Linked DNA regions of Nothobranchius furzeri. The protein of the gene in region 2 binds, or shares a complex with, the protein of the main gene of each other region. Links are inferred from orthologs where the notes say so. Each region holds a gene or a part of one and is shown on either strand. Other genes may lie near its edges.

Region 1 (4,271 bases), on a different chromosome or scaffold from region 2:
CAGAGGTCACCGTGATCAACATGTTAATAATTCTTGGACAGAAATAGCTCACACTGTCGGAAAAGACGAGGACGCTGTTAAAAAATGCTGGAATGCCATGTTGTAAACAACATGAGTTTTTACTTCTATGGTGTAGTGTTGGATGCATGCCGTAGAGCTCCATGCTGCCCCCTACAGTTTGGGAGAATATTGGCTCACCGCAGAGACGAGCCGCATGAACCATAAACGCTGCGAGTTGTGAAGCGCGTTCCATCCGCGAGCCGCATCACCAAGCGGAAAGTAAATGCGTCAAGCATAAACCAAGCTTTAGTCATCGGACCGATACCGATATGTCAAAAATCACTAACATCGGCTGTTACGATATATTGTGCATCCCTGCTTTAATCGGCTACAGCCGTAGTCGGGTTTTTCTCCATATTTTAATAATGTTACACGTTATGCTTCCTGGTTGGTGATGGTGGTGGCAGCGTTGACCTCACACACACACACGATGGAAGCTCTTTAACTCACACCCACCTCACTGGTTTTATTTTTCTGTTTTGCACAACAAAATACAACATAGATCAATCTGCACCACTGCATTAGCTGTGCTGGCTCAATGTCATAAAAAACACAAAGGCTAAGATTAAACTCCTTATGCGATCTCTACATCAATCAAAATAAGGGTCCTGGATGTGCAGTGTCACTCTAAACTGTGAAGGTGTGATGAAAGGTGTTTTTTTTTTACTTTGGAAGCTAATCGTGAACCACTGGATACTTTCATCCTATTTTCAGGGCAATAGAAATCCAGACAAGACAAGCTGAAGCACCAAGTTTGCTCTGGGGTCTCAGGGGGTGCCGTGCAGCTATGTTTGGTTCTGTTTGTCTGGGACTCACTCAGGTTAACACTTGTCTGATGGTTCTGGTATGTGTCTCTTTAGGGGTACCGGTCTCAGCCTGCGTCAGGCTTACAAACTGGTTCTGGAGAGCCGGCCATTCATCCGACCCAACGCCGGGTTCTGGAGGCAGCTGATGAACTACGAGAAGCTCCTGTTTACCAGGAACACGATGCAGATGGTGAGGACATCTGCTGGGGTTTTGCCTGAAGTAATACAAGAGCCAGAGGAGACGGGTGCTGCAGTGTACTGCGTCAATGTGTGACAAGGCGCTGACGGGACAGAACCTGGTCCAACAGGAAACAACATGGAAGCAGATGTTCCTCTGTTGGTTTCATCCAGCTCTTCTGTCCATCTAGTATGGATTGGTGTCAGGAACTTGAAGGAGTAAAAACCAACATGAAACAAACAAACAAAAACAAAAAAAGGGCAGAAATTATCGCAGAGCACGGCGGGTCGGTTCTGGTCTTAGTACTGGAAGCTCCTCTTTGTCTGGATGTCGTCCAGGATTTGCTGCAGCTCCTCGTCCTCAAACCGACCCTCCACACTGGAAACAGATTCAATCCCAACTTTATTCAGACAGAAACTTCAGTTCTCTACACAGATCCTGGTCTTTGACCCGGTCCACATGTATGTGGGCTGAACTGAACCAGAACCGGTTCCATCTGTAGTGCTTTACTATGAAGCTGTGTAGAGCTAGCACGCGACCGGGTTTAAGTACAAATCCCAGAATGAATGGGAACAAGCTTGTTCCATGTTTAGAACTTCCTGTTGCTCAGAGCAGGATGCGTGTTCACAAGCTTTAAACCCAGCTGTTCAAAGAAAACACTTTCAAAAGATAAATAACAACACATTAACCCTAAAATTAACTACAGAGATAACATTCTCAGATCCTAATATAAATATGGTTACCAACATCAATTAGAGTCTCAAAAAAGTGTTTTTGCCATATTGCTTGAAATGCTCTTCACCTACTAATAAATTAAACGTTTTAGACAGAAAATGTAATCGTTTTATTCGCCTCTGAAACGGAAAATCCTGGAAACACCTAAATTATCTGGTCCTTGAGCAGATAATTCAGTGGGTCCCCAGGTGGGTTACCTGACTCACCTGGGGATCAGGGCTTTGGCCTCCTCTGCAGCTTCAGGACACAGATTGGCCAGACTAGCCAACTCAAACTTGTGCAGCTTCTTCTGCAGCAGGAGACTGGAGGAGAAATGGTGGATTTGTCACAACCAGAAGGTGGTCAGAAAATCAGTGGAAGCAAGAAAGGCGAACCTGCGCACGGCAGTAATGGTCTCCCGGTTCTTGAAGCGGCTGAAGCGGGCCGTGTAGTTGAGGGTCTTCATGAAGACCTCGGACAGCTCCTGCTCATCCTCGGCGCTCTCGTTCTGCTGCTTCCTGTGTTCCAGCAGCATGTGGACCTCGGAGTTCAGCAGGGTCTCAGCGTTCTCGAACTCTGGACCAGAAATTAAAACAGCTGATCTCTATACTACTTCCTTTTTATATTCACACACACACACACACACACACACACACACACACACACACACACACACACACACACACACACACACACACACACACACACACACACACACACACACGTTTCTGGTGTATCAAACACAGGTCTGCGGTGGCGGTAGTCGTCACCTTTGGGAAACAACAGTTGTGACGCATCTTCTTCTACGTCTCCGAGCTGCGGAGGAGCCGTGCTTCCGGCCGCCATAACGGGCCACGACTCGTTCCGGAGTTCCGTTGAGTCTCGGTACCGTGAGCTGGACACACGTGGTAAGAATTTTAAGAAGAGAACCCGCGCTGTTTCGTTCAGTCACACAAAAACACACCGGTACTTCCGCCTAGCTGCTGCTGTTTCCGCTACTTCCGCCCGTGATCTCCGTTCGCCCCCTGCTGACCGGAGGTCCAGGGTCCTGCTACGGTCAAAGACGAGACGATCAACAAAACTACTTAAAACCAATTAAATACAATTAATTAGAAAAGCAGTAATTAGGGTAGCATGAAGTTCTCCACCAGGTAGACTGTTACTCAAGCTGGGCTTTAGCTCAGATCAACTGCTTATAAATGATCATGTCACTGAGAAAAGCTTTAAAGATGGGGAAGCAGTTTTAGGAAATCCGCATTCATAATAATGAATAAATTCATAATAATAACGGTTAACAGCAAAAGAGGTTAATATGGGATCTTTCACAGATTTCAGCTTATAGGTGACATATTACCAATGATTTTCTGATAACTGTTTGATGTTTTATCTCTGTTATTCCAAATTACTATAATGAGACGTTGTCCCTTCCTCCGTAATTTAGACTGCGTATTTGCACCCTGTGCTGTTTTGCAGGATATTTCTGTAACAGAAAAGAAATTACTGCAAAATGGACTTGCGTTGGCCGGGAATCGAACCCGGGTCAACTGCTTGGAAGGCAGCTATGCTAACCACTATACCACCAACACTTGATGTTCATCACAAGAAATTCCTATTAAAACATTGACAATGTTCAATTTGGTTTACCGATTGTGTCATTTAACTGATCGTTACATCTGGTTGCATTTTTCCAGCTACTGTCCAGCTGCTCTAGACTAAATCAACTTACGGTTAGTTTCGAACGGGAAGGATGAATATGTCAACACTGAAGTCTAATGGCAGAAGTTTGCTTTCGATTCGTTATTCGGTTACTGATTTTACCTGAATGTCATAACCGTGTTCAACTGTCATCAGAGGCGGACCGAACACCGGCCTCACTTGGGTCGACGGCACAATATATACATATATATACATATATATATACACATATATACATATTACTTATTATATTCTATAGGATTATAATAAAGTAATTAATATTTTGATTTCACAGATCGGTCACATCATATTTATTGACTAACACTTTGTTGGATTAGCTTTATTAAAATAGAGTTCTTTGATTAATTAAAAGAAAATAGTCCATTCTTCATTCTTCTGTTGAGCTGAAAATAAGCAGGTTAGAAGCAAATGCATGAGACCTTGAGACCATATCTCATGCAGACTGGTCCTGTGTCAGAGGAGACGGGGAAACAGTCATTTCATTCTGTCACATAAAAATTCACTATTTAACTTTCATTCGTTTTTTTATTAATATTTAGTCTAAACAAACTAACAGCGTGTCCAGCAACATATTAATGTTACAATTAAACAATTTAATTTAAGGTAGGAACATTTTACCTGCTGCTGGCCTGTGACACAGACGCGCTCCGAGCCGTTCTCACAGCTCCTCAGGGAGCTGATAGAGAGCTGCGCTGATGATGTCCAGGTCTGAGATAATGCTCAGATGTTCTGATGGGAATCTTTTCTTGATAGATCTTCCGCAATGATCTCTGTGCGTGATGTTTAAAATGTCTACT
Region 2 (4,133 bases):
CTGAAGATGTCCTCAGGGACCTGCTGGTTTGAGGTCTGTCCATCAACAGGCTGCTGTGAGGTGGATGGGTCTCCTTTTTCTTGAACAAACTTAGAAATCTGGCCAAAAAAGAGAAATGTAATAGGAAAAATAAATATTTTACACTTTTTACGTAACGGGGGTTTAGTTTAAGAAAATGGGAGACGTTTCCCAAAAATCTACCAAATGTTTCATTTTATACACTAATTATTTCCTAAATACATCTCTAGAATAAAACATTCAACACAGTGACATTTTCATTCAGTTCTATTTTGAACTTCTGCAAACCCCTGTAAATTCAAATATCATCCATCCATTTTCTTTTGCGTATCCAGGGTCATGTCACGGAGGCAGCAGCCTAAGCAGGGAGGTTCAGACTTCCCTCTCCCCAGCCACTTGGGCCAGCTCCTCCAGGGGAATCCCATGGCATTCCCTGGCAAACTGAGAGACATAGTCCCTCAAGCATGTCCTGGGTCTTCCTTCAGGTCTCCTCCTAGTTGGACATGCCCGGAAAACCTCACCAGGGAGGCATCCAGGAGCTGGAGATCACGTTCTGATGAAGCCAACAGGACAACATCAACTGCAAAAAGCAGATATCTGATCCTTAGAACACCAAAATGGATTCCCTTATAACCTTGGCTACACCTACAAATCCTGTTCATAAAAGTTATGAGCAGAATCGCTGACAAAGGGCAGCCTTGGTGGTGCCCAACTCTCACCGGAAACGATCAAACTTATGGGCTATTCCCATCTGTATCGGGTCGGCCCGGGCCGGGTAGCCCCAGTTGGTCCCAGCCTGGCCCGGTTGATTTCAAACATCCTTGTCTTAAGCCCATGTGGGCTGATTCTACCCACCAATCAGAGGCTTGCTCTAATGGAAGGTGTGAATTTGCTGTCAGCAGTGGGTGTGTTGGCCCTGGTCGGCCTGAAGCAGACCCCCTCGAGAAGAGGGCTGAGAATGAGCCTTGGTTGGCCCGGAAAAATACCAGGCCACCCAGATATGTAAACAACCTACGCTACCCGGCCCGGGCCAACCCGGTACAGATGGGAATGGCCCATCTCTGTCTGCAATGTGGACCAAGCTCTGACACCAGTCATACAGGGACCTGACAGCCTGTATCACAAGGCCTGGTACCCATACTCCCAAAGTACCCCCCACAGGGCCCCCTGAGGGACAAAATCAAAAGCCTTCACCAAATTCACATTCACAAAGCACTGGTTTGGTAGACTGGTTGGGCGAATTCCTGCGCACCCTCCAGAACCTCCCTAAAGAACTGGTCCAGTGTTCCACGGCCAGGACAAAAACCACATTGCTTATCCTGAATCTGAGGTTCGACAATCCACCGGACCCTCCTTTCCAGAACCCCTGAAATAGACCTTACCAGGGAGGCTCATGAGTGTGATCACCCTGTAGTTGGAAAACGCCCTGCGGTCCCCCTTTTTAAACAGGGGGACCACCACCCCAGTCTGTGAATCCAGTGGAACTGCTCCCGAAGTCCACGAGATATTACAGAGCTGCGTCAACCAACAAATCCCCACAACATCCAGATCCTTAAGGAGTATGACATACTGCTGATTTGCTGTGGACAACTTCAGTAATAAGCTCAGGGTCTGCTCCATCTGCAGAGCGAAGACGACATTCACGGATCACGTTATCCTGCAGGAGACGCTGAATCACATCAGGGAAGGTGCTCTCTACAAAATACCTAGAAGAGGGAAAACACAAGTGAATAAAACCGCTGAAGAAATAAATGTTTTTGCAGAGAGAGACGAAAGACCTTTACCTATTGTGTTTGAGCACAAGCTTAACTTTCCCATAGCTCACAGTGCAAAGCTGAAAGAGGCAGAAAAATACAACAGATGAGCAAAAAAATAAACTGTTACTATAGGATCACATCCTGTCTATCTCTGACCTCAATGAACTTGATGATTCCATCAGGTACAGATGTTTTACTGAGCTTCTGCAGGTACTCTATAATATCAGTGGTCTGCAGCCCCACACTGACTGCTGCATATAAGGAGTATGCAGTCAGCTTGTACTCATGGATGTGGTTAGGCCTGCACACTGGCTCTGCAATAGCCACTAAGAAATCCTGGGCATACTTATATACTGGTGAGAACGCTTCCAGAAAGATGTGTCCATCTGGAGCCTGTAGAGAAGTGAGAACAAGATTTCACCTCTAAGAGATTACTGAGGTACAGCTGTGACTATAAGCAGCAATGACGCATCATACCACCCAGAGAGGACGGGAGTTGTGGTCATTCTTCAACTGCATCTGTGCGCGGTAGTCTTTGGCTCCATATTCATCCAGTTTTGTGCCAGATTCATCCACCTGCTTCCCTGCAGCAGCAGGTACAGCTTCCTGAGACTCCCCGACTGTCACCTCTTCATCGTCATCTTCCTCATAGTAGCGTCTTTTGAACTTCTTCTCTATAGCAGATCCACAAAACAATCATTAACATTACTAAAACATTTTAAAAATCAGTAGTTATGTTAAGATGCCATGGAATCAAAACTACATTTTGCTCAGACGTATTTGCGCTAGTATATTGCAGGTTAGCGTTCGGTGACTAGCTCCACGCAGATTAAAATGAAACGTTACCAACTTACCTCGATCTCCTTTATCTTTTTTACCCATTTTGAAAGGTTTACATGGGTAAAGTCTTAAAAATAGTCCCAAATGTATTTAGGTAAACACACAATACGTGTCTTTAAATGATATGAAGGAATAAACGATGTCTAGACTGTGCACTAAAGTGGAGCTCTGAATAACAAGCGTTTCCGTTCAAAAACTTTCAAAATAAAAGTTTTTATATTTCCGTTTTTGCCACAGAGACAGTGTACAGTTGATTATTACTTATATTTACGATAGTTTAATACAATTTACGAAGCTTTAAAACTACTTATTCAAAAATGTGTTTATTAAAATCTTAATTAAAAATAAATCACAATAGCAGGTGCATTTGTTTTGGCAGAACACTTTGAAGACTTCCGCTGCTGCTCTATTGTTTACTTCCTAGGTTAAAAGCCATAGAGTAAATACAGGTTTTGTTTAATATCCCCTGAAAATACGTAACGAAATTGTTAGCAAAGATGTCCTCTGATAAAATTATAGGACCTGCTTTGCCTCCGATATTTGGAAATGAGAGCTCTGAGGACGACGTTGACGAAAAAGATTGTAAGATACGTTTTGTTAGAAGCTAACGTGTTGTGGCAATTGATCTTTTCGGGTTGCTCTGTTCACTTTTAGCTAACAGTTTTATTTATGTCGCCGTCTAGTTGCTGGTCCTGCTTTACCTCCTGGGTATAAACGGGGTGAACAGTCTAGCTCCTCAGATGAAAGTGAACCAGAGGTGGCAGCTAAGCGAGCCAAGACTGGGAGAGCTGCAGAGTGAGTTCTGGTTCTGGTCTCATTTGTTAGTTAAAAGAAATAGAACGAACTTGACTAACATGTGTTTCTGAACAGGGATGATGATGGGTTCTTTGGACCAGCTCTGCCTCCAGGATATAAAAAGCAACATTCACCAGAAAGGTGAGCAGAAACATCAATATTCTCTAGTAACATAAATAGCACGTGTAAGGACACTTCCTGTTTAGGATAACAGTGTGACATTTGTTTGTGATGGTATTTTCTCAGGGCACCTGTGTTGGGGCCAGCTCTGCCTCCTGGGTTCTGCAGGACTGAATATGACAGTGATGATGATGATGAGGAAGAAATTGTTCCAGGACCTGCCCTTCCTCGGGGCTACTGTCCCGAACCCTCCAGCAGCGAGGGAGAGGAGGAGGACGTGATTGGACCCATGCCTGCTAAAGGACCGATTCAAGATTCTGTTGCTCATGATTTTGAGTGCAGGGCACGAAGGATGAAAGATAAGCTAACAAGAGTGGTAATTTTTCTCTAACATTTTTCTCCTCATAATAATTAAATTATAAAAGGGGGCTGTTTCTTCTTTGTGTCTTAATGTGTTCTTGTTTGTCCTCTGCGTAATTAGGATGTTCCAGAGGTGGTAACTAGAGAAACGTGGATGACAGAGCTCCCACCAGAACTGCAGCACATTGGTTTGGGTGCTCGTACTTTCAAGAAAAGGTCAGGTCCAGAGAACAAGGATCGCTC

The links.
Region 1: ercc3 (region 2) and polr2d share a complex: the UniProt entries of both Homo sapiens proteins name them as parts of the TBP-based Pol II pre-initiation complex. The link is inferred for Nothobranchius furzeri from reciprocal best matches to the Homo sapiens genes ERCC3 and POLR2D.

The regions. Positions count from the first base shown.
Region 1 is NC_091753.1:55,727,259-55,731,529, reverse strand, and holds polr2d (DNA-directed RNA polymerase II subunit RPB4), read right to left. Parts: upstream 2,784-4,271; 5' UTR 2,605-2,783; coding exon 2,529-2,604; intron 2,335-2,528; coding exon 2,154-2,334; intron 2,082-2,153; coding exon 1,986-2,081; intron 1,879-1,985; exon of another isoform or gene 1,423-1,878; coding exon 1,344-1,422; 3' UTR 1,141-1,343; coding exon of another isoform or gene 921-1,140; 3' UTR 501-920; downstream 1-500. Other genes in the region: dual specificity protein phosphatase 14, read left to right, coding at 921-1,140. UniProt on the Homo sapiens protein: Core component of RNA polymerase II (Pol II), a DNA-dependent RNA polymerase which synthesizes mRNA precursors and many functional non-coding RNAs using the four ribonucleoside triphosphates as substrates.
Region 2 is NC_091749.1:40,321,580-40,325,712, forward strand, and holds the start of ercc3 (general transcription and DNA repair factor IIH helicase/translocase subunit XPB), read right to left. Parts: upstream 2,801-4,133; 5' UTR 2,658-2,800; coding exon 2,630-2,657; intron 2,450-2,629; coding exon 2,253-2,449; intron 2,169-2,252; coding exon 1,932-2,168; intron 1,853-1,931; coding exon 1,803-1,852; intron 1,725-1,802; coding exon 1,589-1,724; intron 99-1,588; coding exon 1-98. Other genes in the region: gpalpp1 (GPALPP motifs-containing protein 1), read left to right, coding at 3,113-3,197, 3,299-3,410, 3,486-3,551, 3,657-3,906, 4,012-4,133. UniProt on the Homo sapiens protein: ATP-dependent 3'-5' DNA helicase/translocase. Binds dsDNA rather than ssDNA, unzipping it in a translocase rather than classical helicase activity. Component of the general transcription and DNA repair factor IIH (TFIIH) core complex.